4 linked regions of the Drosophila melanogaster genome follow. Changing the gene in region 3 together with the main gene of any one other region gives a genetic interaction. Each region holds a gene or a part of one and is shown on either strand. Other genes may lie near its edges.

Evidence for each region.
Region 1: of Ask1 (region 3) and p38c, changing one suppresses a phenotype caused by changing the other (phenotypic suppression), as found in Drosophila melanogaster (one study listed by BioGRID).
Region 2: of Ask1 (region 3) and Ddc, changing one suppresses a phenotype caused by changing the other (phenotypic suppression), as found in Drosophila melanogaster (one study listed by BioGRID).
Region 4: of Ask1 (region 3) and p38b, changing one suppresses a phenotype caused by changing the other (phenotypic suppression), as found in Drosophila melanogaster (one study listed by BioGRID).

The regions. Positions count from the first base shown.
Region 1 is NT_033777.3:24,146,948-24,153,238, forward strand, and holds p38c (p38c MAP kinase), read right to left. Parts: upstream 3,257-6,291; 5' UTR 3,236-3,256; coding exon 2,165-3,235; 3' UTR 2,073-2,164; downstream 1-2,072. Other genes in the region: Kal1 (kallmann syndrome 1), read left to right, coding at 249-425; Slimp (Seryl-tRNA synthetase-like insect mitochondrial protein), read right to left, coding at 560-1,954; p38a MAP kinase, read right to left, coding at 3,655-4,755; CG6178 (uncharacterized protein), read left to right, coding at 6,150-6,291. UniProt on the Drosophila melanogaster protein: Kinase involved in a signal transduction pathway.
Region 2 is NT_033779.5:19,114,978-19,123,732, reverse strand, and holds Ddc (dopa decarboxylase), read left to right. Parts: upstream 1-3,426; 5' UTR 3,427-3,623; exon of another isoform or gene 3,624-4,258; 5' UTR 4,259-4,315; coding exon 4,316-4,414; exon of another isoform or gene 4,415-4,491; coding exon 4,492-4,577; intron 4,578-5,604; coding exon 5,605-6,952; 3' UTR 6,953-7,250; downstream 7,251-8,755. Other genes in the region: Phb1 (prohibitin 1), read left to right, coding at 181-612, 916-1,314; CG10561 (uncharacterized protein), read right to left, coding at 7,321-8,755.
Region 3 is NT_033777.3:19,875,119-19,885,745, forward strand, and holds the start of Ask1 (apoptotic signal-regulating kinase 1), read left to right. Parts: upstream 1-4,600; 5' UTR 4,601-4,805; coding exon 4,806-4,925; intron 4,926-4,997; coding exon 4,998-5,192; exon of another isoform or gene 5,193-5,764; coding exon 5,765-5,943; intron 5,944-6,365; coding exon 6,366-7,263; intron 7,264-7,319; coding exon 7,320-7,658; intron 7,659-7,724; coding exon 7,725-8,527; intron 8,528-8,590; coding exon 8,591-8,737; intron 8,738-9,077; coding exon 9,078-9,977; intron 9,978-10,037; coding exon 10,038-10,310; intron 10,311-10,375; coding exon 10,376-10,613; 3' UTR 10,614-10,627. Other genes in the region: CG17186 (uncharacterized protein), read right to left, coding at 1,095-2,164, 2,224-2,299; Arc42 (Activator-recruited cofactor subunit 42), read left to right, coding at 2,760-2,793, 2,881-3,090, 3,159-4,132.
Region 4 is NT_033779.5:13,777,453-13,784,194, forward strand, and holds p38b (p38b MAP kinase), read left to right. Parts: upstream 1-3,236; 5' UTR 3,237-3,312; intron 3,313-3,414; 5' UTR 3,415-3,547; coding exon 3,548-4,645; 3' UTR 4,646-5,157; downstream 5,158-6,742. Other genes in the region: CG9008 (uncharacterized protein), read right to left, coding at 319-370, 2,193-2,280; CG16890 (uncharacterized protein), read right to left, coding at 5,158-5,493, 5,545-5,985; Eato (engulfment ABC transporter in the ovary), read left to right, coding at 6,718-6,742.

The sequences.
Region 1 (6,291 bases), 4.3 Mb from region 3:
CGGGCAAGGGCAAATTAGTGGAACATCGTTGACCATGGGGTATTGTTTAACAAGGCGCAATCGTGTTTCCTCTATTTGACACGGAAAACACGTCTTTCCAATTGGCAGTACGTGGTCAAATGCCAATCAAAATTTTCCCAATATTGATGAATAGAATCGGGTCATGCCATAGGTGTTTGCCAAAATACAAAGATCAAACAAGCGAATGCTGCCGTATGTTAGATACATTAAATTCATTTTGATTGCAGAAAGACCCGCTGGAGTTCAGCAAACTGAAGTACAACACCACGTATGTGCTGAGGATTCCCCGTTCCAGTCCCAATTCCGTGTTGGACGACTCCAGAAATGTCTTTACCTTCACCACGCCTAAATGTGAAAATTTCCGCAAGAGATTTCCCAAGCTGCAGATCAAGTGCAGCGACTAGCCTTCTCTGTATGGGCTCAACGCACTGCTGACCATGAGATTACATTAGATTGTAAATAATTGTATGTAAAACTTAACTTTTACTTATCGTTAGGCCTAAGAACAAACAACAAGAAACTAAACACCGATCGTTTTTTACGTGAAAAGGTCCTTAAACTGCTGTAGATCCTGCTGATGAACGGGTTTCTGACTAATAGAGCCCAAAAGTTTGCAGTCTTCCAAGCGCACGCCATGCTCAACAAGAGCTGCTATCAGTCGCGAGGTGTAGAGCACTGGTCCGCCCACCATGTGCAAGAAATCATAGTGCTTCTCCCGCCGCGTGCTAAAAAGGATTCGCTTAGAGACAAAGTCTCCGTAGTTGCTGATACGTCCCACACACACATAGCGCTGCAGTGAGGGGGCATAAACTTCGATGACTGCCCGGATACTCTCCGCCGGAGTTAGATCTGCTGCTGTTGCATAAGAAATCCTGAATGGTATGTCCAGTGCTTTGTAGAAATCAGTTGCCAGATTGAGAATATGCTCTAGTTGGGAGTCCGCTTCGTTGTCCGTTTGCGTTGCCACAAAGATTTGTACCGCATTCGTTTGTGTCGCCGTATAAAGACTAGGAATGGGCCCATACAAATCCGCTTCCGCTCTGTTGTAGCTCCGACCACAGCAGACATACCGAAGGGGCAGCACCGAGGGATACACGCACAGCTTGGTCATGGCACCAAGGTAGCTCTCGAAGGACGCACCTCCAGTCAAATAGGCGGTATTGATCTTGTTTTGCAGGTGCTCTTCCTGAACCAGATGATAGTCGGATAAGGGTGTCGCATTTGCTTCCAGGAGAACGCAACGCACAAAGTCCGGATTGGCGGTTTGAATGAAGTGCCCGTGGTTGACGAAATAGCGGGCCAGGGATTGCATGGCATTTACGTCAAAAAGAGCAGCCTGCTCCATCAAGTAGTAACGATTGTTGTCTACAAAATGTACAAGTTCCTGGCGTGCCAAGTGGGATGTAGTCTTATTTTCTGATTTGGGTATCCCATGACGATAGAGAAGCTTTTCCTCCCCTCCAACAGGGCACTGGACATGCAGAAGGTTGGGCAAGTGCAGATAGTCATGAATAAAGTCATCCTCTATGGGATAGAGAGTCTGCTTCAGAGCCTTTAGCTCATTGCGCAACGATTTCCCATGCTCTTTCAACTCCTCCAGCTGAACCGCACTACTACCAGATTTCGTTAGCTCCTTTAGGCGCTTGGTCACCCTTTCGCGTTCCTCCGCCACCTTGGACAGCTGAGCGTGATGTGTTTTATACTTCTCGTACTTGCTGAGCACAGTTTCCAAACGAATGTCCAATCCCCGGCTGGAGATGCTCTGCTCCAAAAATTGCCGCTCTCCAAAGGTTTTATTGAAGTCCATGTACGGCTGCAGAGTCACATAGTTTTCGTTCGCTTTATCGCCGGTTATGTACAGCGCGGAGATGTTTCTGCTACACGTTTTCTTTGCCGAAAGGCAGTGTTTTAATACACTTCGCAGGCTCAACATTATTTTTATTATCGAATGCAAAATAAAATAAGCCGGTAAGGCAAAATCAGCTGTCGCCAGCGCTGCCAGATCCGGAAGATTTAATAGGGGTATTTCAATGATTTCAATGTTTAAATTTATGAATATCCAGTTTTTAATTTAATTTTGTGAAAAATTTGTTCATTTAATTAATTTAAAATTTATTACTTCTGCTACATTAACTACGGCATTTTAAAAATGCAAATCAAGTTGGTCAGGTCTGAAGTTCCGAATCTCGTGGGAAACAAGTTCTTTCCAGCATTTTACAGGCAGTACCATGTTTTCGAAGTTCTGATCATAGACTGGTGCGGTGTCTTCGGCATGATGGTGTGGCTCAATAAGATCCCGAAGGTATGGATGGAGCATTGCTTCCGCAGCTGTGATACGTTTTTCGGGTACCATTTCGAGCATTTTTTCCATCAAATCGATGGCCTGGACATCGTAACCCATAAACAGGTGATGAAAATCGCACCTTTGTCGTAACGGGTACCCCTCCAGGTAATTACGCGAACGTTCCATGCTTATCCCGGTGATAAACTCCCTCGTCGGAGTACCCATTATGTTAATCAGACATCGTATTTGGCTTACATAGTTTTCACCGCGAAACAGGACACGATCCGTGATAAGTTCCGCCAGAATGCAACCAACCGACCACACGTCAATTGCCTTTGTGTATTGACCCCTTAAAAAGATAATTTCCGGAGCTAGATACCACATAGTTCCAACATGGTCCGTCATTTTGTCTGCGCACATACGGGATAAACCGAAGTCAAGTATGCGCACCTCGCTATTTCCATTAACTGCGATATTGCAGGGCTTTAAGTCTCGATGAACAACCCCGGCACTATGTATGTACTTCAGTCCCCGCAGTATTTGGTAAAGGATTATCCTAATCTCTTGATCGCTCATCCTTTTCGAACGCGAGTACCTGTGCAAATCCGCGTCCATCAGGTGAGTCACCAAATAAACCTGCTGAAATTCCATCATGTTGTGCGCTGGTGGATGGAAGACGTTCAGCAGGCTGATAACATTTCGATGATTCATGTGCTTCAGCAGACGGATCTCGCGATAGGTACCCTTAGCATCCTCCTCCCTCTCGAATGGGCGCATAAGCCTTTTCATAGCGAAGTAATTTTCAGTGCCTCGTAGTCTCACCTTAGCCACCTGGCCAAAGGAACCGCCACCCAGAAAACGAACGAACTCGTATATATCCGGGAACTCCCAAAGGCTTTCGTTAATTGCCACTCTCACGAACTCCGGCATTCTGGATTAAATGTGCAAAAATATGTCTTCTACGAAAGGAAACAGAAAGAAAACTGAGCTTGCATTTAGTCACCCGCTAAACTCTTATCTTTTCTCAACACCTTATCTATCAGTGCACATTCGACTGACAGAACACTAAACTTGTTCGATTCAGTCATCTGTATGACCGGAGATACACACATATGCTATAGACCCAAAGATCCTGCCCAAGAGGTGACAAAAATAAGGTTTTTAGTTGAATAACTTGATGTTTTTATAAAACAAATTTTTTGTTAAATAAGCAGTAAGCAGCAAAAAAACAAAATAAAAAGTTAACACTAAGAATTGATAAATTTGAGTACAAAAGACATGGTTGGAACATAAAGGCTATAACAAATAAATTGGCCTATGTAATACTTTAAATTCTTGATGGTTTGTGTTCACTTTACATCCTTTAGAACCTGAGCATACGATGGTGGGGGCTTAAAGTTGGTGACCTCCTTGTAGATCAATTCCTTCCATTTGTCTACGGGCAAATCCATATCCTCGAAGCTGTGATCGTATGGTGGTGAGGTCTGCTCGACGCTGGGCTCCGCATACTTCTCCAGATATGGATGGGAAAGAGCCTCCTCGGCTGTGATCCGCTTTTCGGCATCTAGCTCCAACATCTTTTCCAGCAAATCAATGGCCAGCGGATTGGCGTTCTTAAAAACATTTTTAAAACTTCGTCCCTTCATAGGCGGAAGTGACTGGATGTAGGAACGTGCACTTTCCGATGAGATCTTCTTCAAAAATTCGGCGGGTGGCGTGCCCAACATCTCCATAATCAGGTTTAGCTGGTGAATATGGTCGGTGCCTGGGAAGAGGGTTCGTCTGGTAATTAGTTCGGCCATGATGCAGCCCACCGACCAGATGTCCACTGTTTGGTCGTAGTGCATCCAATTGAGCATTATTTCAGGTGCCCGGTACCAACGCGTGGCCACATAGCCTGTCATCTCGTTCTCCGTTGGGCGGGCCAGCCCGAAGTCTAGAATGCGCAGCTCGCAATCCTCGTTGACGGCAATGTTTGAGGGCTTAAGATCACGGTGGATCACTCCGGCGCTGTGGATATACTTCAAGCCACGGAGTATCTGGTAGACTAAAAACTGGACGTGGTCGTCGGACAAGTGCTGCATCCGTATGATGTTGTTCAGATCTGCGTCCATCAAGTGGGTAACCAAGTACACCTGTTGGAAGTTCTCCAGCGATCCATTAGCGGGATGTGGATGGAATATGTCCAGCAGACCGATTACGTTCTCATGATCCATATGCTTTAAAAGTCGAAGCTCCCGGTACGTCCTCTTTGCATGGACAGCTGATTGAAAAGGCCTGGCAAGCTTTTTAATGGCCACATGCATATTGGTGCCACGAACAACTGCCTTTGACACCTGTCCGTAAGCTCCCGATCCCACGGGCTGCAGATCCTGGTATATATCCGGGATCTCCCATTCCGTTCGATTTATATCCAACTTGTAAAACTTTTTTGTAATGGACACTGACATGGTATTGCTTGAGGAAGGGCGTCGTCACCTTAGTTAATGGTGCCTATAAGCGAGATATGTATTGATTCTTAAAATGCCATGCGAACGATAATTCCATGCTGATTACGTTTATCTTGAGGCAGCTCTGCGTCAGTAGTACTTACCTCTGTTCCACGCCCAAGAATATCAACAACTAAGTACTGGTCCCTGGCATTTTTCCTATATTTGCGCTATTACTCCATTCCGATGCGTGTTAGGCATTCATGAATCAGATCGTCAGTGGATCAGATCGATCAGAAGCGACACACGAATGCGCTACATTTGATCAGAGTAAAGTTGTTAAAATCATTTTTGGCACGATATTAAAAAAAATCCTTAATATATAAGTAAATAAATAAAATAATATATTAACCATATCATTGCATTGTAACAAGTCTCTTTTTCCACTCTTATCGATGTCCTTAAATGTGAATAAAGGGATTAAAATTAAATAATTTTGTTAGTTTTTAATAATATTCTAAAAATTAGGTAATATAATATATTTTTAAAGCCCATATACCGTAAAATTTGGAGTGTAGAGCGTTTAAATGAAAATAAACACACGGCGTTGCCAGACCGTCAGCTGACAGTTCAATAAGAATTTATCGAATAAGTATTTGAATCAGCTGTCTCTTGTTTTTCCTGCAAATTTGAGCAGCACCATCCCCTGACCCATTTTTTGTTGCACTTTTGGTGTACTTTGAATGAAAAATAGTCAGAGACACTACTCGCGCCTGCGCAGTTTCAACGCCGGGGTTATCAAATAAGCTAATCTAATCGTTCCGTAAACGCAGCCTGACATTCCGCCCTACCATTCTCCGACGAACAGTTAGTTTCGCACGCAAGCCGCTCCCGCTCGCATCGTAACCTAGAAAACTTTAGCGTATGTACATAAGTAAATTGACGAGTTTATCTGAATGATACTGAATATATTAGCGGTATAAAAGATAAACATTACATGGTTTAACGAGTGTTCGCTTGAAAGCCTAAATGTTAGACCGCAGGGGAGCTGGAAGAAGCCACTTCAACCGCTGTGAACTGCGACCTTTGGAACCTGGACTGGCAAACATGCAGATTTTCTGTAGTCCACTATCTCAGATAGCGGGAACATTGTTAACATCGATGGCATGTTCAGCACAAGTAAAAGATCTGCGAACCGAATGCGATTAGATAGTCCGGGGGGTTCAAAGTATGGTTTGAAGGGTTGCTATAACTTCAACCCCTGAACCGTTTTTCTTTTAATATTTTCGAGGAAAACTTCACACTCCCCAAAGGCGTGTATAATTTTTGGTAGATAACCCACAGTTCGTTATCTTCCATTATAGCTCATCATAAAATGCAAAACTATCATGTTTCTTTCTCTTTGCAGACACAAAATGACTTCAAAGCTACTGCCCGGAAACATTGTGTACGGAGGTCCTGTGACTGAACGACAGGCCCAGGATAGCAGATCCTTGGGTCAGTACATCCTCGACAAGTACAAGAGCTTTGGCGACCGGACGGTGCTGGTGGATGCCG
Region 2 (8,755 bases), on a different chromosome or scaffold from region 3:
AACTGCGTTTGAAGACCAGGAAGAACAGGGGATAAAAACACGCAAACAGCACATTGTCATTAAACCATGACGTTCTAACCTAAAAACTGATGAAATTTCCAAGTCCAGTCGGCTTTCATTTACATATATAGTTTATAGAACAGTAACTAAATACATTACGTTTGTTTTATTCAAAGGATAATGGCTGCTCAGTTCTTTAATCGCATTGGCCAAATGGGCCTCGGAGTGGCCGTTTTGGGTGGCGTTGTCAATTCGGCATTATATAATGTGGAAGGCGGCCACCGGGCGGTCATCTTCGATCGCTTCACCGGCATCAAGGAGAACGTGGTCGGCGAGGGTACCCACTTCTTCATCCCATGGGTGCAGCGGCCCATCATCTTCGACATCCGGTCCCAGCCCCGCAACGTTCCTGTGATAACGGGCAGCAAGGATCTGCAGAATGTCAACATCACGCTCCGAATCCTGTACCGCCCCATTCCAGACCAGCTGCCCAAGATCTACACCATTCTCGGCCAGGACTACGACGAGCGTGTCCTGCCCTCCATCGCGCCTGAGGTGCTGAAGGCTGTGGTCGCCCAGTTCGACGCCGGCGAGCTGATCACCCAGCGTGAGGTGAGTAAAAACATCAGGAGAGCCCTCAGTTTCTTTAGGATAAAGCTTTTTTGATGGGCCTTGTGTTTCACCAGAGGCGCTTATGTTTACTTAGTATCAGGTCATCAGATCTCATCGTATTTCACGCGTATTTTATTTTCGATTTAAATTTGATTGTGTAAGCAAGAACGCGATCTCGGCGCTTAAGTCTAGGCTTATTGCTCTTTTGAGAATTGAAGCTTAAGAATTGGATTATTATTCAACTTATGCAGTCGGAAATATAATACTTTCATGCCCGTACTTAACGTGATTACCTCTTTGCAGATGGTGTCGCAGCGCGTTTCCCAGGAACTGACTGTACGTGCCAAGCAGTTCGGCTTTATTCTGGATGACATCTCGCTCACGCACTTGACCTTCGGTCGGGAGTTCACGCTGGCCGTCGAGATGAAGCAGGTGGCCCAGCAGGAGGCGGAGAAGGCGCGTTTTGTCGTGGAGAAGGCCGAGCAACAGAAGCTGGCGTCCATCATTTCGGCGGAGGGTGATGCCGAAGCCGCTGGCCTGTTGGCCAAGTCATTCGGCGAGGCCGGAGACGGTCTGGTGGAGCTGCGACGTATTGAGGCCGCCGAGGATATCGCCTACCAGCTATCCCGGTCCCGTGGTGTCGCCTACTTGCCCAGCGGACAGAGCACGCTGCTCAATCTGCCATCGACCATCGCGCAGTAGCTGGGTGCATCTAGTTCCGTTAAGTTGTAACTACCTATAGCATTTACTAAGTACTTTTCGATTTTGTTTCTGCTGAAATATGCACTACTCTAAAGCGTTCGCGCCCGACTGACTGGAGAATACTAAGCGAAACAACCAAAATTTGTCTCATGTAATCGGTTTTTCCATTATCTTCCCGATCGGGTTCGAAATCCGGTCGCAGTGTGCGCTCCGAATGCGGCTCAACTTTTGTTGTTTCCGTTTGAGTCGTTCGTGTGCGCGTCCTGCTGAATTGGTCCTTAAGATCGGCACCGGGCTTAAAACAACTCCAGTAATTGAAAGAAACACAGACCGTAAGAAAATTTCATTATGTGAACAAACAATAAATGATAATCCCTACATGAGTGGGCTTTTAAATTGAGTGTGGTTATGGTTATGCAGGAAATGTTATTTAATTTATGAACTTTTACTTTCTTTTTACTTTACTTTTACTTTCCCAATTAATTACAGATCGATCCTAAAACGAATCTAATCACTTGCCCATATCATATAGATTTAGACAAAATACGTGACCTATTGAAGCTCAGCGATGTGATGTGTACACCAAACACCCGCTCGCTTATCTCGGCCCTTGTTTACCCCATATGATGCCTGTTTATGCAATCCCCCTCTCAAAGGCGCCATTCGACCCCTATAAGCGGAGAATACTTTCGCATTCATTCGCAACTCAAGATGGTCATAAATCAAATTGTAGTATTCTTCGCCTCAATCGACCCGAACTCCAGCCACCCGTAAAGCAGCATAATGTGGGTGGGTAGTTGGGCGACTGGTGGCTGGTGGCTGTTGGCTGGCGTGTGGGTGGAGCACCCAGCGCATTAAAATCGAAAGCAGAGCCGTTGGCATGGCGTATAAATCTGTTGATTCAGCCAAGTGATTTGCCAAAGTGGCTTCGTTGAAATGTCAGGCACACGCACTTTGCTCGCACTCAGCAACAGTTGGACCACCCGCAGGATTCTCAGCAGCCCTACACTGAAAGAAATTATTTTCTTTTGTCGTAGGCTAAAAGTGTTTACTTGATTCTTTTAAATAGTAATTAAAGGAAGATAATGATTTTCCTGTCGTATTCCAATATCATTAGCCGAGCCGATATACCCATGTTTGTCTGTCCGTATAAACTTCGAGATTTTGGGAACTTTAAAAAAAAAAAACGGTCACGAAAACAGTTTTGAAAAATATTTTGAATTTTTGTATTATATCTCTCGATATATTTGGCATAAACATTTAAGCCACATATTTATTGTTTCTTGCCAATTTCTATTGATATTTCAACTGAATTTTGAAATTCCGGCCAAGTAACTGGCATCCAAAAGTCGTTAGCTTTCTATAGTAATTTTGAATTTTTCTCAGTGTATGCGGAACTGCCCGCTCAAAAGGCTCAACCTAGCCCACTTCCCCTAGCACAATGCGAAAGTGAGTGAGAGCATTGGATTATTTGACGTCACAATTCCATGAGCGGTTCAAAAAGCACGTCATATGTGGTGCTCTAATAACCGGTTTCCAAGATGCGCGTAAAGCGTGCCATTCCACGGCTTAATCAATTTCTTGTCTTTCCTACGAATATAACTTTGTTTACATTTTTTTGCGTGATTTTTTCTTCGGGGAGTCCAAGAAAAACCCTGTTTCGAGTGACTCATAATTGGGGGATTCCTGACGAGATCGCTCTCTTTCCACAAATTCGAGTTGGGAAGCACGTGAGTAGAATTCAAAATGTTTTGCTTGCTGTTTTAAATATCACTAGGTTCTCAAACTAATTTCAAAAATAATCAAATTAAGTTCACAGAGCTGGCAAATAAAATGTAATAGCTTGCATGTATGTATATATATATATTTTTTTAAATTCTAAATAAATCCATGGAAAATAAAGCCTTTGATATCCAGTTACTGATTCAGCGCCCAATTAATGCATGTTCCAAAAAAGTGTCAAAAAACGTGCACAAATCAAACGAGAGCTGAATTTGTTTTTACGACAGCGGCTGCGATTCGAAGTTCAGCGGCTGCGGACTGCGATTGAACCGGTCCTGCGGAATTGGCAGCGCTGCTGGACGGGCTTTAAAAGCCATGGCCAAGAGCGGGCAGCGCTCAGTTAAGAGGAGAACGCCAAGCGCACAGCAATCAGCACCGAAATATCAGCATCGAAATATCAGCAAATAAATATTAGCTGTTCTAAACCAGGAGGGCAAACTGAACTTGGAGCAAAGATTTAGTTCGGAACGGAAGTAAAGCTCGGCAACAAGTGCAAACAATTAAAAGCAGTTAACTAAAGTGCAACGGTGAGAGACGAAAGTGTGGCTCCTCAACAGCCTCAGCTGCCTGAAGTGCTTGGCCAACATAATGAGTGCATGTGCATGCGAAAGATTCATTTCGGGGCTAACGCTGCGTATACGTAATGTGTATCTAAAACTGGGCATATACTATAGCCTTGCTTCGGTTCAATTTGATAGTTCGGGCCCCGAATTCTATAGTGCTTAAGCTTTTCTCGGCTTTCGGTATCTGCATGCTTTTGTGTATCTATTAAAATAAGATTTTAGCTGGCAACAAGTCGTCGTCTCAATGCCAACTTGTTTACGTTGTTAAAATTGGAATTTAGAAAAAAAAAAAAAATAAAGCAGTCTTGATTAATGCAAGAATGCATTAAACATTCTAATTACCATACTAATTCACAGCCTATACTTAAGCAGCGCACTCGATGGGAAAACGCTTTAAACTATTAATACCTTAATACCTTATTATTATAACTATTATCATCATCGTTTTGCCTATCAAGTAATTAGTATTCAATGTCGTTCATTTGTCGTGTTTGCAGCGATAGCATTTTTTGTTTGAGCTGCTGCACTGATTAGCACTATCTTCAAAAACGCACTTCTATTAATAACACTTTCAATAATCGCACATTCTTTCATATTAGCTCTAACCATTCGAGTTCATATCATTGCAAAAGTCAAACGAAAAGTAAATCTCTGAAATGAGCCACATACCCATTAGTAACACAATTCCAACAAAACAAACTGATGGTAATGGTAAAGCTAACATTTCGCCGGATAAGCTGGATCCCAAGGTTTCGGTATGTCTATTGGGTTTAGGTATAGAGCCAACAATTATGCACGTCTGATAACCAAATACTTTTGCATCCACATCAAGATCGACATGGAGGCGCCGGAGTTCAAGGATTTTGCCAAGACAATGGTCGACTTTATAGCCGAATATCTGGAGAATATACGCGAAAGGTGAGCCAGATTAAGACTCCCTACTCAATTAGCTTGAATTAAACTTAATTTAGCGTATGAATTTCATTTATATGGTATCAGAATCAGTCGCTTGACCTCAGCATTTTACGTTCGAATCGAAAGTTCGTTCTGCTCGATTCGAATCCCCGGGCAAGTGAATGACATTTCGCACACGTTTTGAGATTAGTCACGGGAAAGTCGCACCGATCGGACATTTCCATTGCTATATATATCTATATATATATATCATTTTGTTTAGGGGGTTGAGGCGACCTTCCCATTAGCTCGAGGGCCAAGTACTTTCGCTGCTCTTGGGCCGAAAACTAATTAATTAAATGGCTTTGTTGAGTTGGCGTGTCAAGGTCGTTTTTCATGTATACGAGTATAGATATAATTGCACTGCTAACGCCTTGGCCAAAAGCAATTCGGGTATTTCACTATTCTTGGGCAATTCTTCTAACGGCTTCGTTTCCATTACCTTGAAAATCAAAGTCAGCTAAGTAAACAATTTTCTTACTACAGCTGCTGAGTTTGTTTGCCCATCGACAGTCGCTGAAATTAATGGTTAATTGAAAATCAAGCTTAAGTAGAGCGTAATATAATAATTCATTTTGCTTTATTAAAGTTCCTTCGACATTGAAGTTTCAAAACTATTTTCTTAGTTAGATAACTTTTTAAACGAATCTTTGTTAATTGAAGATACATATATATAGAGAAATTATCTTTTTATTTTCTTTTTTCACCTCTTAGTAGTACTTCCTTTTAATTGAAAGGATAGAAAATCCCACCATCATTATCAGCATTGCCTCTCTATCTATATTCTGTTCCCATAGCAATTTGCTACATATTCGTATTGATTTTCATGGCAGTGGCAACAAGTTGGGGGTGGTTGGATGGGTGTCCTTCAACCCCAATGATTCCTGATGCCTTTGTTGGCTAACTGAGTTTCGCAGCCAATTAGCAAGGAGCTTTTACTGAATGGGCGCCAAAATGCAATCAGAAGCTAACGCAATTTTCGCAATTACAGGCGCGTTCTGCCGGAAGTGAAGCCTGGCTACCTGAAGCCATTGATTCCGGATGCTGCGCCCGAGAAGCCGGAGAAGTGGCAGGATGTGATGCAGGACATCGAGCGAGTCATCATGCCGGGCGTGACACACTGGCACAGTCCCAAGTTTCATGCCTACTTCCCCACGGCCAACTCGTATCCAGCGATCGTTGCGGACATGCTGAGTGGAGCGATTGCCTGCATCGGATTCACGTGGATCGCCAGTCCCGCGTGCACGGAACTCGAGGTGGTCATGATGGATTGGCTGGGCAAGATGCTGGAGCTGCCGGCAGAGTTCCTGGCCTGTTCGGGCGGCAAGGGTGGCGGTGTCATCCAGGGCACGGCCAGTGAGTCCACACTGGTGGCTCTGCTGGGAGCCAAGGCCAAGAAGTTGAAGGAGGTGAAGGAGCTCCATCCGGAGTGGGATGAGCACACCATCTTGGGCAAGTTGGTGGGCTACTGCTCGGACCAGGCTCACTCATCCGTGGAGCGGGCTGGTCTTCTGGGCGGAGTAAAGCTCCGTTCCGTGCAGTCCGAGAATCACAGAATGCGTGGTGCTGCCCTGGAAAAGGCCATCGAACAGGATGTGGCCGAGGGTTTGATTCCCTTCTACGCGGTGGTCACCCTGGGCACCACCAACTCCTGCGCCTTCGACTACTTGGATGAGTGTGGACCGGTGGGAAACAAGCACAATTTGTGGATCCATGTGGACGCTGCCTATGCCGGATCCGCTTTCATTTGCCCCGAGTATCGCCACCTGATGAAGGGCATCGAATCAGCAGACTCTTTCAATTTCAATCCACACAAATGGATGCTGGTGAACTTTGACTGCTCGGCCATGTGGCTGAAGGATCCCAGTTGGGTGGTCAACGCGTTCAATGTGGACCCTCTTTACCTGAAGCACGACATGCAGGGATCAGCTCCGGACTATCGTCACTGGCAAATCCCACTTGGACGGCGATTCAGGGCACTGAAGCTCTGGTTCGTCCTCCGGCTGTACGGTGTCGAGAATCTCCAGGCCCACATCCGCAGACACTGCAACTTTGCCAAGCAGTTCGGGGATCTCTGCGTGGCGGACTCCAGATTTGAACTGGCCGCCGAGATCAATATGGGATTGGTCTGCTTCCGGCTGAAGGGCAGCAACGAGCGGAACGAAGCTCTTCTCAAGCGAATCAATGGACGCGGCCACATCCACTTGGTTCCCGCCAAGATCAAGGATGTCTACTTCCTGCGCATGGCCATTTGCTCGCGATTCACCCAGTCCGAGGACATGGAGTACTCGTGGAAGGAGGTCAGCGCCGCTGCCGACGAGATGGAACAGGAGCAGTAAAGTGGTTGTGCAGGTCTGTTCCGTGTTTAGTATATAAATTAATATAGTAAACTTAAATTGGACCAGTATGATATATAATGCATTGTGACTTGGAACCCGGAACAGACCATACACTTTCCACTTGCGACATGTTTAGGGAATTTACATCGCAACAAAAGATGGTTCGTCCATCGCTACATTATATTTATAGTATCCTATCATTGTATCATTGATGTTGTTCATGATTTTTATTGTTAACGTTATGCGCCTAATTAAAACAAATGTATTCTGCTTAAAAATACAAACGAATTGTAACTATAAATTTTGACTAGTTTTCGTGTTGATATACACTGTACAATTTAGCAGCCCATTCGGATTTCCCATTGCACTTAACCGCAGTGCACGCTTTTCAGATAGTAGTCAATAATGCGTTGGGCTTCTCGGATGCCACTGGACCTGGCGGCATCAATGGTTCCAAAGCCTCTCAACGAGGTTGCATCCCCAGCAAAGAGCAGACCGGGCGACTTCTCGCCCAGCGGAGCGGCCAGTCGCTGGACATCCCGGGCACTGCTGTTGGTGGAGAAGTAAGGACGACCGCCGAGGTAGCAGGCCGACGTACTCCAGTTGGAACGCAGCAGTTCCTGTGGGTACGGCACCAGGTGACTGCTCACGCAGCGCCTTAGCAGACCAGTTATCTGCTCCAGCAGCTCCTCATCGGGCAGCTTCTCGATCTCCTCGTAGTATCCGCCACCCACATGCACCTCCAGCACATGCTGACTGCTGGGCACCTGGCTGATCTCCACGACCTGCTGCGTCCAGTTGCGTTCGGGTTGCTGCTCCACGGAAGGATTCAGAAGCGTTCCCAGTGGCCGCAGGCTTCCCTTTAGCCAACGCCCAATGGGCTTCTTGTAGGAGAGATATATCTTGAGGGGATTGCCAAAGCCGAGGTTGCGTATAGCCAGCATCTTGTCCAGCGGCAGCGTGGGTCGAAACAGAACGCCCGCAAAGCTTTTGAGCACGCCCAGCGGCAGGGTGCATATTATGTGATCGGCGTTGTAAAGACTGCCATCCAGGCAACCCACACTTTTCATCGGCGCTGGTGTCCACTGTATCTGGCCCACAGGCTTTCCGGTCTGCAGCTGCGCTTTGTCCATGTTCTGAATGAGATCGTCCACTACATTATCTAGACCAGTGGGCACATACAGCGGGCGCTGTTCCTGCTGCACTGGACACTTGGTTATGTGTTCGATGTTCACGTACTCCAGGCAGCATCCCAATATGCTGCCGAACTCCTTGAACAGCGATTGGAAGATCTCGCGTGCCGCCAGTTGATCCTTAGGATGCTGGAAGGAGACGCCAATGATGCGATCGCTTTCTGTTCTAAAGTAGTTCATGACATTGTCCAGCGAGTGCAGGTCACCACCCGTTTTAACTCGTTCGGAGACCTTGAAGCCTCGGCAAAGCTGCCGAAATAGCGTGTCGATAAGCTCGACCATGGCTGGATTGATGCGGCTTCCATCCTGAAGATAGGTGGCCCGATCCGGCTGCTTTATCTGCTTCCCCAAGCCTTCCGTGTTGCGTAGCAGTTCATACATCGAATCCTGCGATCCATCGATCTTTACCCACTTGGCGCCTAGTTCACAGTAGGTGTCACCAAAGCGCTGGGTGTTAATCCTGCCGCCATAACGATCTGTGGCCTCCAGGATCACAGTGCGCCGAAAGCCGTGCGACAAGAGGTGCTGGGCCGCCGAGAGACCGGCGAGTCCTGCGCCCACGACCACTATCTGGGTATTTTGGCGCGCCGCCTCCAGATCTGGACTGCGT
Region 3 (10,627 bases):
CACACGCGTCACTTTTTAGAAATGGGAAAATCCTAGAGGCGAAGACTCACGGTACTTTTACACCTGACGGATCTGGCGGCAGCTTCTCGTTAAAACTTAATGGGCTCGCCGTGAATGAACGGCCCTTTATATAGGCGCCTGGATGAACACCCACGCACACCAGTGCACGCGGCATTATCGAGAGATCGCCAAAGAGAGAGAGAGAGAGTGAGCGAGCGTTATCACATCTCACCTCTTTTGTTTATATTTACACTGGGAGCACTTGCACTTTGTTTTTACCTGTCTTTCGTGGGCGCAGCGGGGGCGGTGGATGCCGAAAAGGAACAACGAAAAACTCCAAAAAGTGGGGGCAAATCAATAGGACAACAAACGGGACTCCTACTGTGGTGCTCTTTTCCTTCTCAGTGCTGATGAATGTGAACGTGTCCTTCCCCTCCCGCAGGACACACGGAAATAATTGTGCGCTGTGTTAAATGTCGTGTGCTGATTTTACAAAGTTGTGCAGTGAAAAACATAAAAACGTTAAACAAGTTCCAGTGCGTGCGCGTCGAATCTGCGCAGAGATGAAAAGCGGGCTGTCAAAACCAGAATGGAAAACTGCCAGATGTACAGTGGCGCGCAAAAGTATTCGCACTCGCACGCGATTGTGCCTGCCGTCATTGGTGACTATTGAAACTATTCTGTTTCAATACTCTCTCCATGGAAGCTTGAAATTATTATTATTATTATTATATTATAAAAATTGGTATAAGCCATTTTTAACGGTAAAAATTGGTAGTGTTGTGCAGCATCAAAACTTCGACAAAATTCCAAAGATACTCACTCACACATAACATTAATAATACTCAAAATTTTCAAATTTCAAAATCAATATTCTTTATTCGTAGTAACAACGAATAAACAATCTTTTCATAGCTTTTCAATTCTTTACATTTAAAATATTTCTTAATTCAAGAATTTTGGCTTATCAAGAGTCAAAAACTTTTATACAGTTCATTAATATCTAAAGTTTGGTTATTGCATTGATTGTAATTTAACAATTCGTTGGCTTTCGATGTAATTAAAAGTACCAAAGAGTCGAGAAATTAACAAATCTATGCATTGTCCAGCGCGATGAAGTAGGAAATATCCTCCGGACTGTCTTCGGTGGTCAGGTACACGATCTCCTCGTAAACGTTTTCTTCGGCAGTTGTATATTCTATCATTTCAAAGCCGGGATCTATTTGAACCACCTCGTCGATCTCCACTAGATTGATCTCTTCCAGTCCGTTTTGCTTATCTATATCCTGTATATCCTCCACAACATCTGGCTCTTCCATAACATCCATATCAAGCTCCTCCACAAAATTTCTCTCCTCTCTGTGATCAATCTCCTCCAGCTCATTTTCCGCTTCCAAGTATTCTACTGGCTCAAGAGCTTCAGTTTCCTCCAGACCATCAAGGTCAGCTTGAATCTTGGCCAGATGCCTTGCCGATCGCATGTGCCGAACGAAGCAGAATCTCCTGGCCGTTCTGTATTCGCAGGGCTTGCACTCCAGGGTGCACCTGCACTCCTTCTTGTAGGCGAGGTATTCGTCCTCGGTCTCCCCAGACTCCCCAGATAGCTCCACCATCTGTTCCTGCTCCTGGGGCAGATACTGTATGTATTCATTAGCCTCCAGCTGGCTTTGCACGACCTCGATGTTCGCCTGGCTTTTTGCTTGCATCTCGAATTGAGATTTTCGAGTGGTGCTGTAGTCACACGGCGTGCACGTGGTCAGGATGTCTTCCGTGTATCGTGTTTTCTCCGCATCCGCGGGCGCTGGCTCCTCTACTCTTTTTATGCGTTTTACCGCCGGTTCCGCCCTCTCGGCCTCGTCCATCAGCTTCTCGCACTCCTCCTGCTCCTTCATTATGTGGCGCCTCGACTCCTTGTGCCGGTCGAAGCAATACCGTTTGGCGGTCTTGTAGCCGCAGACGTTGCACGAGAACAGTGACGATTCCACCTCAGACTCGGAGTCAGAGCAGGACTCCAGCAGCATGTGCTTTTGCGACCGCCTGTGGCGCCTCAAGTCTCTTCTCCGGTCCGTGGAGTAAGTGCAGCCGTTTATGTTGCAAGTCAGTCGCTTTATCTTCACCGCCTTGACTTGCTCCTCCTTTCTGGGCGCTTGTTTTAGGTGCAAGTCTGTAAAAAGCGAAATCAATCGTAGTTCAGCCGGCATTTAGGTATTCATTGGTACTCACATTCCATTTCGTCCTCGTAGATGAAATCTAGAGCCTCTATCGTCAGTGTTTCCGTTCTCTGGCATGTCTGCGACATATTTCCCTCGTTTGGTCTGCGTTCTTTTAATAATAACTAAACAAATCAACAATTATTTGATGGTACCAACATTATTTAGCTTGAAAATGTAGAATGCACGCGAGAATTTACGAATTTGGGAATTTAGTATTTTTCAGGCGGCATGTTGGATCTTATTTCCGTGCACCTTAGGAATTATGTTTATTTCATTTTAAAAGTACCCATCAGTGTTTTCGTATGAGTGAAAAGTTAGTAATTTTTAATTTTAATTTTAAATTAGTAACAAGACGACTTGTTAAATTCGGGACAAGAGTCACCCTGTGATGAACCACTTGTTACATGCAGATGCAGCCGGTGACCTCCTCTGGTCACACTGTCCATTTTTAATTTTTTGTAATAGTAGAGTTTTTTTTATAACATTTTATCCGTCTTTTATGCAATATATTTAATTATTATTAGTAAGAGGCAATCCCACACAAACATGCAATCAGTACTCACCCGCTCGTTATGCATTGGTAAGACAAACTGATGTGTGGACTTTGAGCCCCAGCCATTTAAATGTTTTCTATAAGCAAGATCCTAAACCAGATATTGATATTCAGCCCGCAGATCTTTAAATGCTCGTCAAATTGCCTCATTGTCGGCGCTTTCGGAGACGCACCAGATGCTGCAGAAGTCCTGCCGGGACTTTGCCAACAATGAGCTCAGTGGAAACGCAGCCAAGTTCGATCGGGAGCACCTGTATCCAGAGAAACAGATCCGCCAGATGGGCGAACTGGGCGTGATGGCAGTAGCGATTCCCGAGGAGCTGGGTAATTAATATTACGCCCACCTCAGCCCTCCTTATAGTATCTCATTGTATCTCTTTATTGTTAATCAGGCGGCACTGGACTGGATTATGTGGCCTACGCCATTGCCATGGAGGAAATCTCAAGGGGCTGTGCCTCTGCTGGCGTCATCATGTCGGTGAACAACTCCCTGTATCTGGGACCGCTTCTCTCTTTCGGAAACGATGCCCAGAAGAAGGACTACATCACACCGTTTACCACCGGCGAACGAGTGGGCTGCTTCGCGCTCTCTGAACCTGGAAACGGATCCGATGCTGGAGCTGCTTCCACCATAGCAACCGACAAGGGAGATCACTTCGTGCTGAATGGCACCAAGGCCTGGATCACAAATGCCTTCGAGGCGGAGGCAGCCATTGTGTTCGCCACCACCAACAAGCAGCTGAAGCACAAGGGCATCTCCGCATTCATTGTGCCCAAGGCTACCAAGGGCTTCTCGCTGGGCAAAAAGGAGGATAAGCTGGGCATCCGGGGATCTTCGACGTGCCAGCTAATTTTCGAGGACTGCGTGGTGCCCAAGGAGAACATGCTGGGCGAGCCGGGTTTCGGTTTCAAGATTGCCATGCAGACGCTGGACGCCGGCCGCATAGGAATCGCTGGCCAGGCGCTGGGCATTGGTCAGGCTGCCCTCGAATTGGCCGTGGACTACGCCCAGAAGCGACAGGCCTTCGGCAAGCCCATTGCCAAGCTCCAGTCCATCCAGCAAAAGATCGCGGACATGTCGTTGGCCATGGAGTCGGCACGTCTGCTCACCTGGCGCGCCGCCTGGCTGAAGGACCAAAAGCAGCCCTACACCAAAGAAGCTGCAATGGCCAAGCTGGCTGCCTCGGAGGCGGCCACCTTGTGCTCCCACCAGTGTATCCAGATCCTGGGCGGAATGGGCTACGTGACCGACATGGCGGCCGAGCGTCATTACAGGGACGCCCGCATCACTGAGATCTACGAGGGCACCTCCGAAATCCAGCGACTGGTGATCGCGGGCTCCATTCTAAAGGAATATGCTAGTTAAGATCAAAGTTATATATCCGTACTACTTGTGTCTCGTTTAATAAAGAACGTTTTTAATATACTATTTTGCTAGTTCTATTGAGTTGTATAATTGTTTATAATAGATAGAAATACATGAAAAAAACACCTACAACATTTTAATTCTTTAGAAAAAGTTAGCAAAACAATAAATCTTCGTTCAAAAAGTAAAGTAAAATAAGTGAAACTCTTGACTACTTTTTAGACGTTGCATATTTGTAAATTAATTAAAATAATGAACCTTAAGTGCTTTTAAAATATATTTATAAACAAAGCTTATTATTTTATATGCCTAATTATATTATATCTTTTAAACCAAATTTTAAATGACTCAAAAAAATGGGAACTTGGCGCCAAAACTGCAGCAAGGCTTTGTCGGTTAGCATATTTGTGTGGTATTTTTGTGACTTCATTCGGTATATTGCTGGTAGCTGTGCAGCGGTCACACAGCAAAAGCAAAAAGTTTCTTTATTTATTTGATAATTATTCGTTACGCGGTAATTAACGCGATGCAAGTGCAGCAGGAACGTGGTAATGAGAGTTTTTGCCACTGAGCTGCGCGTGTCGGCCGTCCAGAAAGTGCAGAAATCGCGTGAAGTGCGCGAAATCCGTCCAAGAGCAGAAAAGTGCCAAGAATAGCTGCGATGGAAACAGCGATGGATGTGGTGTGTGTAATGGATACGGCGGTGGGCGACCATCTGGAGGACCGCCAGTGTGCGCTGGAGGAGATCAAGCAGGCAGTGCAGTCGGCGGGCGCCAACTTTCAGCGGGTTCAGGTGCGCCAGCTTGGTTATACAATGGCATATGGGTGATTTGACTTACATCCCCCCCACTTGGCATCCTTGCAGTTCGAGCGCCTGGACTTCGGCGAGACGAATGTGCTGGAGACGTTTTACAACGCCGATGTGGCCATTATCGACCTGAGCATTCTCACCCAGCAGCGGCCGCTTTCCTATCACTACGGCGTTAGGGAGAGCTTCGGGATGAAGGAGAACATCCTCACCTACAACGACATCGATTCCAAGCAGACGCTCAGTCTCAAGGTGCGTTCGGAAGTGTTTACCTGGCCGGGCGTGCCTGGCAAACATCTGCGTTCGTGATCGGGAATCCGCTTCCGATAAGATAAATGCTATGACCAGCAACTGCGTGGACTCCTGGACTAGTTGTTCTTGCTGATCTTTCTACAGTCGAGCTTCCACAACGCGAACTGAGTTTATAACAAGTCTCTAACCTAGGTGCTTAGACACCTCTTTCTGGAAAATGACTAAAAATTATTCTATCTACTAGTCTTCCTTTAGCAAATTGCAAAAGAAACCGAAAAACTTCCTCTTTCCAGAGGTTAATAACTAAAACCTCTTTCCCATATGGCAGCCAATAATTTGAACTATGGAAGTTCGACTGTATTTCCGTCGAATCGTTTTCGTTATTTTTGTTTTGGCTGCGGCCATAAAGCAACAAAAGCATTGGCCCAGCAATAACAATAACAAATGCGAGCACGCCCACGCAAACACTCAAAGAGGCACGCACACACTAACAGCACGGTGTACACCAACGCAGCGTGGCCTGCATTCACAGTGGCGGTCATTAAATTAGGTACACTCTACTCCCCTTGCAGCTCTCGTGTGCCAACTACCTGTTTCTCAGCTACAAGCGGAATGCGGAGACCAATTCCTGCCACCTGACCAGCCAGCCCAACAGCGGCAACAACAGCAAGGAACCCAATGCCGAAGGACGAGTGCCCACTTTGCAGTGGCGCCTCAAGCGAAAGCTGCAAGATGTTGAGATCCAGTCGAAGTGAGTACAATCTAGGGAGTCCCCTTTTGCAGTAAGTCATGCACGGTGATTGCATATCGGAACACTATTTATAACATCCCCTGCGGCAGATTGGCTGCAAAAGTCACGCCCTGCATCTAAAATGAATCAGACCGATTTATTGTGTTGGCCTTGGAATTGCATATAAAATATCAATAATCGCTGAAAATTCTTAAGTCTCTTTATAGTATCATAATTGTCCTTTCAATTTAAATTACTTCGAACTTTAGTGATACTACTACGGGTTAACAAGTAATGAAATGAAAGTAATTGAAATCTTAAATTTGGTGTACCAGATAGATGCTAAGTTAATTAGTCTTTCAGCCAGAGCACGAAACACTGTTCCTATTATGCATTATTTGTGTACCTAAAAACTAAACGAAGCTATTTTCGGTTATTTACAGAGCCCACATGCGTGAGAAATTTCTGAGTGACATGCGAACGGCGCGGGACACGTACGCCACCAACGGCGCCAAGCTGCAGAGTATATTGCACGAGATGCGAAAGCGGCTGGACGATCCGCATGTCCTGTCTGGCGAAGTGGTACACAGTTTCATGTGCTCGCTGAGGGATGTGCAGGACTACGATGCCATGGTGCGACTGGTCAATGACCTGAAGAACATACCCAACACCCGGAAGTACGTGGAGACGGGCAACATGAGTTTCCTGTACGCCTTCGCCCTGAACCGAAGAAATCGAAAGGGAGACCGTGAAAAGGCTCTGGAATCTTCGCTGAAGGCGCTGGAAAAGAAGGAGAACCACTTTCCGGACATGCTCTGCCTGTGCGGCCGCATCTACAAGGACATCTTTGTGGAATCCGACTACACGGACGCCACCAGTTTGGCGCACGCCATCAAGTGGTACCGCCAAAGCTTTGAGGTGCAGCCGAATGAGTATGCAGGCATCAATCTGGCTACTCTGCTGGTTATCGAGGGCAAGGAGTTTACCAATACGGAGGAGTTGCAGCACATCGGCATGACCTTAAACAATTTAATCGGTAAAAAGGGCAGCCTATCCTCGCTGAGTGAGTATTGGGATGTGGCCACCTTCTTTGAGATCTCCGTTTTGGCCAACGACTACGCCAAGGCGATTCAAGCTGCCGAGTGCATGTTCAAGCTAAAGCCACCCAACTGGTATCTGAAGTCGACCATCGGAAATATCTCTCTTATACATCGATTTCGAAAGAAGCCCGAGGAACGCCAGCCGCCCATCGAGGAGCAGGTGTTCCAGTTCTGGATGGACTTCTTTCTGGAGGCCACCAACACCGAGGAGGTTAAGAACAGCATTCGCTTTCCGATTCTGGTTGGTACCCCTGATCTGCAGTTTAAGCTTTATTATTAACTCAAAACAAATTCCAGATCCTCGAGCCTCAGAAGATTTATATGCCCAGTTATGTGACTATAAACATGGATGCGGATGAGAAGTCCATTCAGATTGTGAACATCTGTTTGGCTCACGCAAAGAATGCGTGTAAGAAAATCCACGACTTCCTTTTCGTGGCATCGAAGATCAAGTCCGTCAGCCTTTACAAGAGGGATGATCGTTGTGCCTACTTGTACGTCCATCACAACTCAGATGATTTTCAAATATATTTTCCCTCCACTGAACGACGACAAAAGTTCTACGATATGATCCTGGAGATGACTGCAGATCAGGTGGTGTTTGTCAATCTCAGCAATGATGACGCTAATATCGAGGTAAGTTATTTATTATTCATATATACATATATTCCGGCCACTTTTGCTAATTATTATTAATTGTAGTACGAGTACGACTACGATGAGCAGAATCGCAAAATGGTGCTGGGCAAAGGTACTTATGGCACCGTGTACGCCGCCAGGGACAAGCAGACGCAGGTGCGAATCGCCATTAAGGAGGTGCCGGAAAAGAACTCGCAGGATGTGCAGCCACTGCACGAGGAGATTAAGTTACACTCTCAGCTGCGACATCGCAACATAGTTCGCTATTTGGGATCGTGCTCGGAGAACGGCTTCTTCAAGATCTTCATGGAGCAGGTGCCGGGAGGATCGCTTTCCGACCTCTTAGAGACCAAATGGGGTCCGCTCAAGGACAACGAGTCCACCATGGCCTTCTACTCCAAGCAGATCCTCGAGGGGCTGAAGTACCTTCACGAGCAGGACATTGTTCATCGCGATATAAAGGGTGACAACGTGCTGGTTAACACGTATAGCGGCGTGGTTAAGATCTCCGATTTCGGCACCTCCAAGCGGCTGGCCCGCATCAACCCGATGACGGAGACCTTTACGGGCACCTTGCAGTACATGGCGCCGGAGGTGATTGACCAGGGAGTACGCGGCTATGGCCCGGCGGCTGACATCTGGTCCTTTGGATGCACAAACGTTGAGATGGCTACGGGCAAACCACCGTTTATCGAGCTGGGTAGCGCCCATGCGGCCATGTTCAAGGTGGGCTTTTACAAGAAGCATCCGAACATACCCGAGGAGCTGTCCGCCAACGCAAAGAACTTTATTTTGCGTTGCTTTGCCATCAGCGTGATGGACCGACCCTCCGCCTCGCAACTTCTGGAAGATCCCTTCCTACAAGAGTGAGTTTGCTTAATTGTTTTGCCTAATTCCTTTCTAATTGCACTTTTAATTTTCTCAATAAGTAAACCCCGCAAGGTGCGCCCAGCCCTGCCCATCAATACTGAGTTCGGACGCAGCATTTCGGTGCCGGCTGATCGGTTTGTGCACAAAACCACACCGCCGCTGAGCTACAACACAACCTGCAATACGCCCACAACGCCGGAATTGGAGTAAGTTAAACGCTGCGACTATTCTTATCATGTTCGACCTTCCTCAATTACAAGCAGAGGTTATCTTATCTGTTGAAAATTATCATTTATATTTTGCTAATTTTAATGAATATAAAAATTTTTCCGTGCTTCTCTATATTTTCCCATATCGTCTACTATTATAAGAGTAACAAGTGCCTTTGCTTATCGTGTAGTTAACACATTGATTGTTGCTATCAGTAAAGTGCATATTTAATGATTGGAAAATGCGCACTCGGATTTTGATACTGAGAAGAGATAGCACTTGATGTATTGTAAAATAAACGTAATTTTATATTGTACTTTCTGTTTCCTATTTCAGCATAACGCATTCATCCTCGGTGGACATTGACGAGCTGCCCAGCAACCAGTTTATGCTTGAACGGCGAAATTCCCATGGATTTTTGCTCTCGCCAGAGATTGAACCTTCCACGCCGTCCTTGCGTACGAGCATTAGTGAGACGAGCGAGACTGACGGTTTTTACAGGCTTAAAAAGGATTCGCAGAGGCGGACAACGCTTTCCAAGGTGCTGGCACTAGACGAATCCAAGATCTGCGATATTTGGCTGAAGAAGGTCGACGCTGATCAGAACTCGATTGCGATTAGGAAAAGCGATTTGGAGGTTCTAATCCGAGGACTGCGGGACTACATTATGAACGAAAACGAAAAGCATTTGGAAGCGACTATCAACGAACTGAAACAAAAGCTGAACAACGACGCAGTTGCTCTGGACCATCTTCATTTGGCGCTGTACTCCTTTCAGGACGCCGTGGTCTGCGTACTGCGGTACCATTGCATCAAACCCCATTGGATGTTCGCATTGGATAATCTGGTTAAGCGGGCCGTCCAGGCGGCGGTCACTATTTTCTCTCCTGAACTGGGCGCCAATCTGGCGGACAAAGACCTGTCTGGAAATGATGATGAGAGCTTGCGTACAAGTCTAATGCAGAAGGGTTCCACCGAGAGCCAGGAAAAGCAGAGCCTGGAAAAAGTTCTTCCCACGAGCAACACTCGCGAAGGTGTGGGATTAACGCCTGCGGAATCGGGCGGGGATGCTCTGTCCAGTTCGATGGAGTGCGCGCGCATCCTGAGAGACATCCGTGACAATCAGCAGAAGCTGCAACGCCAGCTCCTTGAGCAGCAGCGGCAGAGCATGAGGGCCCTGCATAATATCAGTCAGGAGCTGGCTCACATTTACATGGGCGGCAGAAAGAGATTAAGGTTGGTAAACCAAGTAGGACATTGTAAATTTTATTATAATTCACAATTTCATCTTAACAGACGCACAATAAACGGCTTTAACAAAAAGTGCCATAGAATGAGTACCAGTGTGGGCGGAACGTCCGGAGTCCGTCCGAATATAGCGGGCAATCCCCGGAGGCAGCTAAACAAGCATCACTTTGGTCTTCACGAAGTAGACGAGCAGTTGGAGCAGTGGTTGACCCAGCAGGAAATAGACGAGTTCTCAAAGACGCTCATCCTGAATGAAGGTTTTACATTTGACGACTTTATCTATAACATGGAAAAGCTGGACCTCATGAGGCTGGGTCTGCGGTGCGTTAAAGCTTATAAGAAAAGTACACTTAATCCATGCTCAACTAACTTTTGGTATTTTGCAGCGTTGGCATCGAAGTGCGTTTGTGGAAACTCATTATACAAGAACGTGTGTGCACCTCGTCCGATTGTGTGGACAGTCCACCAAGCACTTACCACAAACCCATTGGAGGCAATAGCTCTTTTGCGCTTATTGACAACAACAATACGCTACCATCACCCACAACCACAACTCCCGGAACGCCGGGCATCAAAACGAAAATCAAGAAAAGCGAAAGCGAGTACGATTCGTGCAGCGAGTGACTGGAGTTGAAAGC
Region 4 (6,742 bases), on a different chromosome or scaffold from region 3:
TTTTTTGTTGGGTGTCATACAAAAACATTTTGCCGCCAAACAGAATGGCTAAGGCAGCTCCTCCTGCTGCTCCTCCGGCTCCTGCTGCTGCTGCTGCTGCTGCTGCCCAACCTGTCAACCGCCTTCCCCCTGGACTCGTCCCACTCTCTGCTCCTTCTCCACCAGCGATGCAAACTTTGCGAATCACTTTTTTGGTTGCATGACCAACGCACAGCACAGCACACCGTGGGCTTGCGTAAGTTCGGGCTTAAAGTTTGGCCAACGCGGCGTATGAGCAATGTTTAAAGGGTGCTACCTGACAGAGTTCAGTCCACTCACCTGACAAACAACTGCTCCTGATTGTTTACCCGCCAGGACACGACCGTCGCACCTGCAAACAGAAGGTAGGCAAATAATTCGGTTTATTCGAATAATATTTACAACAAATATTTAAAAAATACATAAGGAATGCTGTGGAATAATAACTAAAGATGTGCGGATTTCTAGAAGGATATAGGGACTACATGTACTAATCAAATAAGAAGAAATATATATCAAGAGGTATTAACTATGCCCCCAGTAAATCGAGTTCAATTCAAGCTTTCAGCGGAACTTAACTAGTTTTCAGTTTTGTACAATCGTACTATGATATAGTAAAGTTAAGAACTAGAAATAAATGTAATATAACTATGTATTAATAACTAACTATTAATAAACACTTATTTAATCTCATTTTATTGCATTGTCGTTGAAATTAGTTTCAGTAACATCGGAACTTGTGAATCAATGAATGAATTCGAAGCTGGATCAACTGTGGGAATTGCACAACAACAACCTAAAAAGCAAAGTACATGACGCACACACTTCTAACCCACATGGCTAACACATACAAACACACACACATACGCGCACACTTGCACGCACACAATCGCAGAGTAAGTAACTGGCCTGTAAGTAAACTAACTGGCTGAGACCGAATCTCTGGTACAGTTAAAGACTGGGATATGGGTTGGTTTTGGTTACGCTACGGGTATGGATCTCTGGGCATGACGATGGCCTACGGCCAATGGGTGGGTGAGCACTTGGCTGCGTGGGAGGAGCTGCTGCTATTCCCCAAAATCTCGCTCAGTTGGCCCCAATGTGCGATGGGCTTTCGACAGGCCGTAGCCACTGCTCTGGCACCTTGATTATTATGATTGGAAACACTTTGGTGTCGAGTTTAGTTAAAGCTCCTCCGAAAACTAATAATTAACATTGTTCGAATTACATGTGATAAGATACACTGAAAGGAAAACAATGCATCAGTTTAAGTATATATCTTAGTTTTTCACAGGCCATTTAATTGAAGAGGAAGAGTAAGTGGAACACGAAAAATAATCATATACATGGGATCATATAAATATCTTTAAGAAAATCATTGCAAGTGAATTTAGTAAAGATCTTTAATCCTTAATGCCTTAGCCACTGAAACTCTTTCCGATAAGAAACTATGAAGATCTCAAGAATTTCCATTAGATATATATGTAGTTATTTCTTCCGGTGTACGATATGCTGTCTGTTCCAAACGCTGTTGTGTCTCTGGCCGTCTGACTGTTGCTCAAACGGCTGCGACTTGGAAAGCAACGTGGGCAGCCCAGACACAGGCAGTCGTAATTGTTGAAAGTACGCTGGGTACACCAGTGCCAGCTCACATACATACATATGTACATAGGTGCTCATAGAGAGGGACCTGTATACATATATGTACGAACCATATACATATATATGACGCCTAATCGAAATGTGCTGCGAGTAGGAGCCGCATCGATCCGATCTCCAAGATCCAAACTCCAAGCTCTAAGCTTTTCCAAAACCGAAACCCAACTGATCCCCAGCGATTGGATCGAGTGGGGGCATATATGTACATATAGCGCCTAAATTGCGACGATCTCGGCTGATAAGATAGCAAAGGCCCTCTGGCTGGTGCGTAGAACAGCGAAAGGTAAAAACAAGGTTATTTCCAGAACGAATTGATAACCTCCAGAGGTCGCGAATACATCGAGAATAGGGGGCGAAACGGGTTTCGGTTTCGGAAGAGTCTAAGCGCCAATCATCCGCTAAAAATAACGCCAACAAAATTTTGGCAAAGTGCTGGTGGTGTCTTCTTAATTATGATTAATTGTTCGCCAGCTATTCATTTGTTGTTTATCATTGTTTCAAGACATTCTGCTCACCGTGCAAGTTGATGGTGCAGGTTGTATTGTTTCCGCGATCCAGAACAACTACACTCGTTGCGGCCATTGCGGCCGCTGTCGTGGCCATTTTGAATTTTCCTAACGGTAAAGGTATATCCGGGGGATCGTTTGAGATCCTGTGTATGTTTGTGTGCGTGCCTGCCTACTGAGGGAGTATATCTTTGAAAAATTGGGTACGAAAAGAAACTGTAGCTCCGTGGCACTTAAAGCAAGGCGATCTGGTTTCGTACTCAAAACGGGCGTCGATTGAACTTTAATTTGCGCATTTACATAATGTTTGCAAAAATTATTCTGCACACAAAGCACCGCACTCACACAGACGCGCCAGCACACACACACTCACTCGCACACACACATACACACGCACGCACAGAGCGCAGCTTGAGTTTTTGTCAATGAACAAATACGTATGGAAAAAACTCGTGCAAAAAACGTTCGGGCGAAAAGCGTCACGACCCGGACCTTCGATGTTCTGCCAACGAGCGACCGATTGAAACTAAACCAGCTTGCGCCAACTGACCGCCTTCTGTTACCGGCCCATGTTAAGCTTTAAAATTAGCTTTATGTCCATGGTCGACGAGGGAGTACTCTACCTTAAAATTATATTTTTAACGTATAACTAAGTATTTACTGAAGTGGATGATATTACCACATTATTCACGAGTTTATGGTTTCATATAAGTTCATTTTTTGCTTTAATTAATGCATTTTTAATTTAAATATTTCTTATTCTCAAAGGTGTGATAATAAAGAATACATACATAGAACTCTCCAAATAATATTGAAAGTATTTAAATTGTAATATAATCTTAAAAACTTTAATCAAAATTGCATATAAAAATCTAATTATTATTATTGTTTGTGACGATCATGTACTCTGTCAACCAAACTGCGCAGAAGCTTTGTGAATTGATCCGCTGCCTCGATGGACTCTGATTTTTGTAGGGGACACCCTAAAGCCAACCATGTTAACGCATAAACGAGCAGCAGCTGATTGGAAATCGGACCCATTTGCGGTTATCGATAGCCAAGACAGCGTTGTTGTCCAATCAGAAAAGGTGTAGGCGCAGCGGAATAGCATAAATAAAATCCGAGAGATGTAAGTTGCAACTTATTTGTGCAGATACAAATGAATCTGGGCAGGAATACCCGAAATTAGCTACGTTTTCCCGTAATACCCGGTACGATTACTCATTTCCAGCAATGTTGAGGCCGCGAAGTGTGGAACAGAGATAACTAATCCCACAAGCAAGAAGAAGAACTGCCCAAAAAAAGAGCCAGCGGATTAATAACATTATAGCACCGCACCTGAGCGTACAGAACATCCCAACGAAATGTCGCGCAAAATGGCCAAATTCTACAAGCTGGACATCAATCGCACCGAGTGGGAAATCCCGGAAACATACCAGAACCTGCAACCCGTGGGTCAGGGTGCCTACGGCCAGGTCTGCAAGGCCGTGGTCCGCGGAACCAGCACGAAGGTGGCCATCAAGAAGCTTGCCAGGCCCTTCCAGTCGGCGGTCCATGCGAAGCGCACCTATCGGGAACTGCGGCTGCTGAAGCACATGGATCACGAGAACGTTATTGGTCTGCTGGATGTCTTTCATCCAGGACAGCCCGCCGATTCGCTGGATCAGTTCCAGCAAGTGTACATGGTGACCCACTTGATGGACGCCGATCTGAACAACATAATACGCACGCAGAAACTGTCTGATGATCATGTCCAGTTTCTGGTCTACCAAATCCTGCGCGGTCTGAAGTACATCCACAGCGCTGGGGTCATCCATCGTGATCTAAAGCCATCGAACATTGCGGTAAACGAGGACTGTGAGCTTCGCATCCTGGATTTCGGTTTGGCCCGTCCCGCAGAAAGCGAGATGACCGGATACGTCGCAACGCGATGGTACCGGGCGCCTGAGATCATGCTCAACTGGATGCACTACAACCAGACGGCGGACATCTGGTCGGTGGGCTGCATCATGGCTGAGCTGCTGACTGGGCGCACGCTGTTCCCTGGAACCGATCACATCCATCAGCTGAACCTCATCATGGAAGTGCTGGGCACGCCAGCTGATGAGTTCATGAGCCGCATCTCCTCGGAGAGCGCTAGAAACTATATTCGTTCACTGCCGGTGATGCCGCGCCGCAATTTCCGCGACATCTTCCGCGGTGCCAATCCGCTGGCCATCGATTTGCTGGAGAAGATGCTGGAACTTGACGCCGACAAGCGCATAACCGCCGAGCAGGCGCTGGCCCATCCGTACATGGAGAAGTACCACGATCCAACCGATGAGCAGACCGCCGCGCTCTACGACCAGAGCTTCGAGGAGAACGAGCTGCCGGTGGAGAAGTGGCGGGAGATGGTCTTCAGCGAGGTGACGGCCTTCAAGCCCACAGCCGCCTTCGCTGAGCTCCTGCCCAAAGAGCAGTAATCCCGGCCGCCATCCCTCTCCGTTCAATGATGCTATATACAATTAGAACAGTCTTTTCTACACCTAGTTCAAGCGGATGCGCTCAGTCGTGATTTCTCTACTCGTCGAGTGTAAACAATCGGGGATATTTATTCTAGAGCGATTTATATTTAGAAACTCTTCAGTGGCTGGATTTCAACAATTTGTTTTGACCACAAACGTAAGGTGAAATAGTATTGTATTTTCGAACCTTCGATTTGCATTCGATGGATATAGAAATAGCGATTGAACTAGGTGCATGCCTGAAATGTAGCCATTCGGAAATGTTTCCAAAAATCAATCAGAGTCACAGCCTTAATGTCCAGTTCAACTTTAGATTTGGTGTCGGTTTTAACACGCAGTTCTTGTGAATAATCCTGTAAATGTGAGTGTACATGTACATCGTAGTTCGTAAGCGAACGCATCTAGCGGCCAGTAACTATAAAAAAGAGCACTAGTGTCTACGTTGAATCCAAATAAATGTGCTATGTATTTTAAAAAATGAGATCCTCTAGATATCGCTCGAATTCCTGCTCTCTGGAGGCTTGCTCTCGGCTTATATCGGGTTGTTGTTGCCAGATCTGTTCGTCTGCCGTGGTGGCATCCTTTGAGTCTGTGGGCTCCTTGCTGGCTTCTGGATGGGATTCGGATGCTGGTTCGACAGGCTCCTCCTCCTCTTCGCCAGAACTTTCGTGACCAACATCGAGTTTTCGACGCTTACGTTTCTTTTCAGCGCGCCGTTCCTCCTTTTCCCTGCGTCTCCGCTTCTTGCATTCTCTCTTCTTGGTGCGGTAGTTCAGCTGATCCGTGTGGGTGGGACACAGCCGCACCTATGGAATTCCCATTAGTGACACAATCGCGGAAACCCATTTGGAACCCACCTTGACCAGCGCATTTAGGGGCTCACCCTTTTCGATATACCTAAAGTTTACCTCCCAGCTGCGCAGATTATCCCGCTCCCCGCAATGCCGGCTGCCGCACTGGAACTGCCCGGTTCCGGTGACCACCTCCTGCTCCGTTCGCCAGCGCAGCGCTATCTTGTTCTCCTTGTAGCGGGACAGGTCCGCGATGCAGTACTCCTTAAATAGCTTCCTGTAGTATCGCAGGGCCAAGCGCTGCTCCCAGCTTAGGGTGTCGCTATCCAACTCGTCGTCCTCCCACAGGAAGCGGTGATTCTCTCGGATTACATCGATGTCTCGCTTGTGCCGACGTGATTCCGTCTCATTCGGTAGGTTAAGCACGTAATTACTAAGTATATAGTTGTGTCGCTCCTTGGCACTCAGGTTGTTCAGATTCACTGGGAATAATTGCGAGCCGCTCATTATGATAAAAAATTTATAATAAACAGACTTCGATTTCAGGGCACTGCCTATCGATATATCGAAGACTGTGGTCCTACTCTGGCTATTTTTACGCTATATATTAAACGATAAATAAAATGAAGCTGCAAAATTTAATCACAAATTGAAATTATTCCAACTGAATATAATAAATAAATTTTAATATATATTATTGTTATTAACCAAAATAAAATGGCTATAACAAGTTTAGAAGAATGGCCCGTAATGGCGAAACTGCATGGTATTAATCTTAGCCAATACATATACTGTTTACACACTGTGGAATAAGTTAAATTTCTTACTTTAAAGGTACAAATTAAGAGTTCTTTGCTTAATTAAATGCAACTTTTTATGAAATATAATTAAACAATATTTATTTTACTTATAAATCAAAAAAACAAATTAAAAATGTGAAATATACAAGAAAATAAAAAACAAATTCCAAGTTTACACACTTTTTAAAATTATTTTATGACCCCCATTGGCTTTGGCTACGAGTAGACTGTACACTTATCAGTAAACAATAATTATTTGTAGCGTTCCTCCGTTTTTTACTACAAGTCCAATGTTATTGAATTCATTCCCACAGTGACTCAAGTCTCAGGAGCGGGTGCGGTTCCCATTTCGATAAGTATTACTATCGACGTTGATAGAGAAAAAATGCCATTCAACAAAGCAAAGTAAAATTAGGGAAAAGTTGATGTTAAACAGAAAATGGCTGGGACTTTTACCCCGCTGT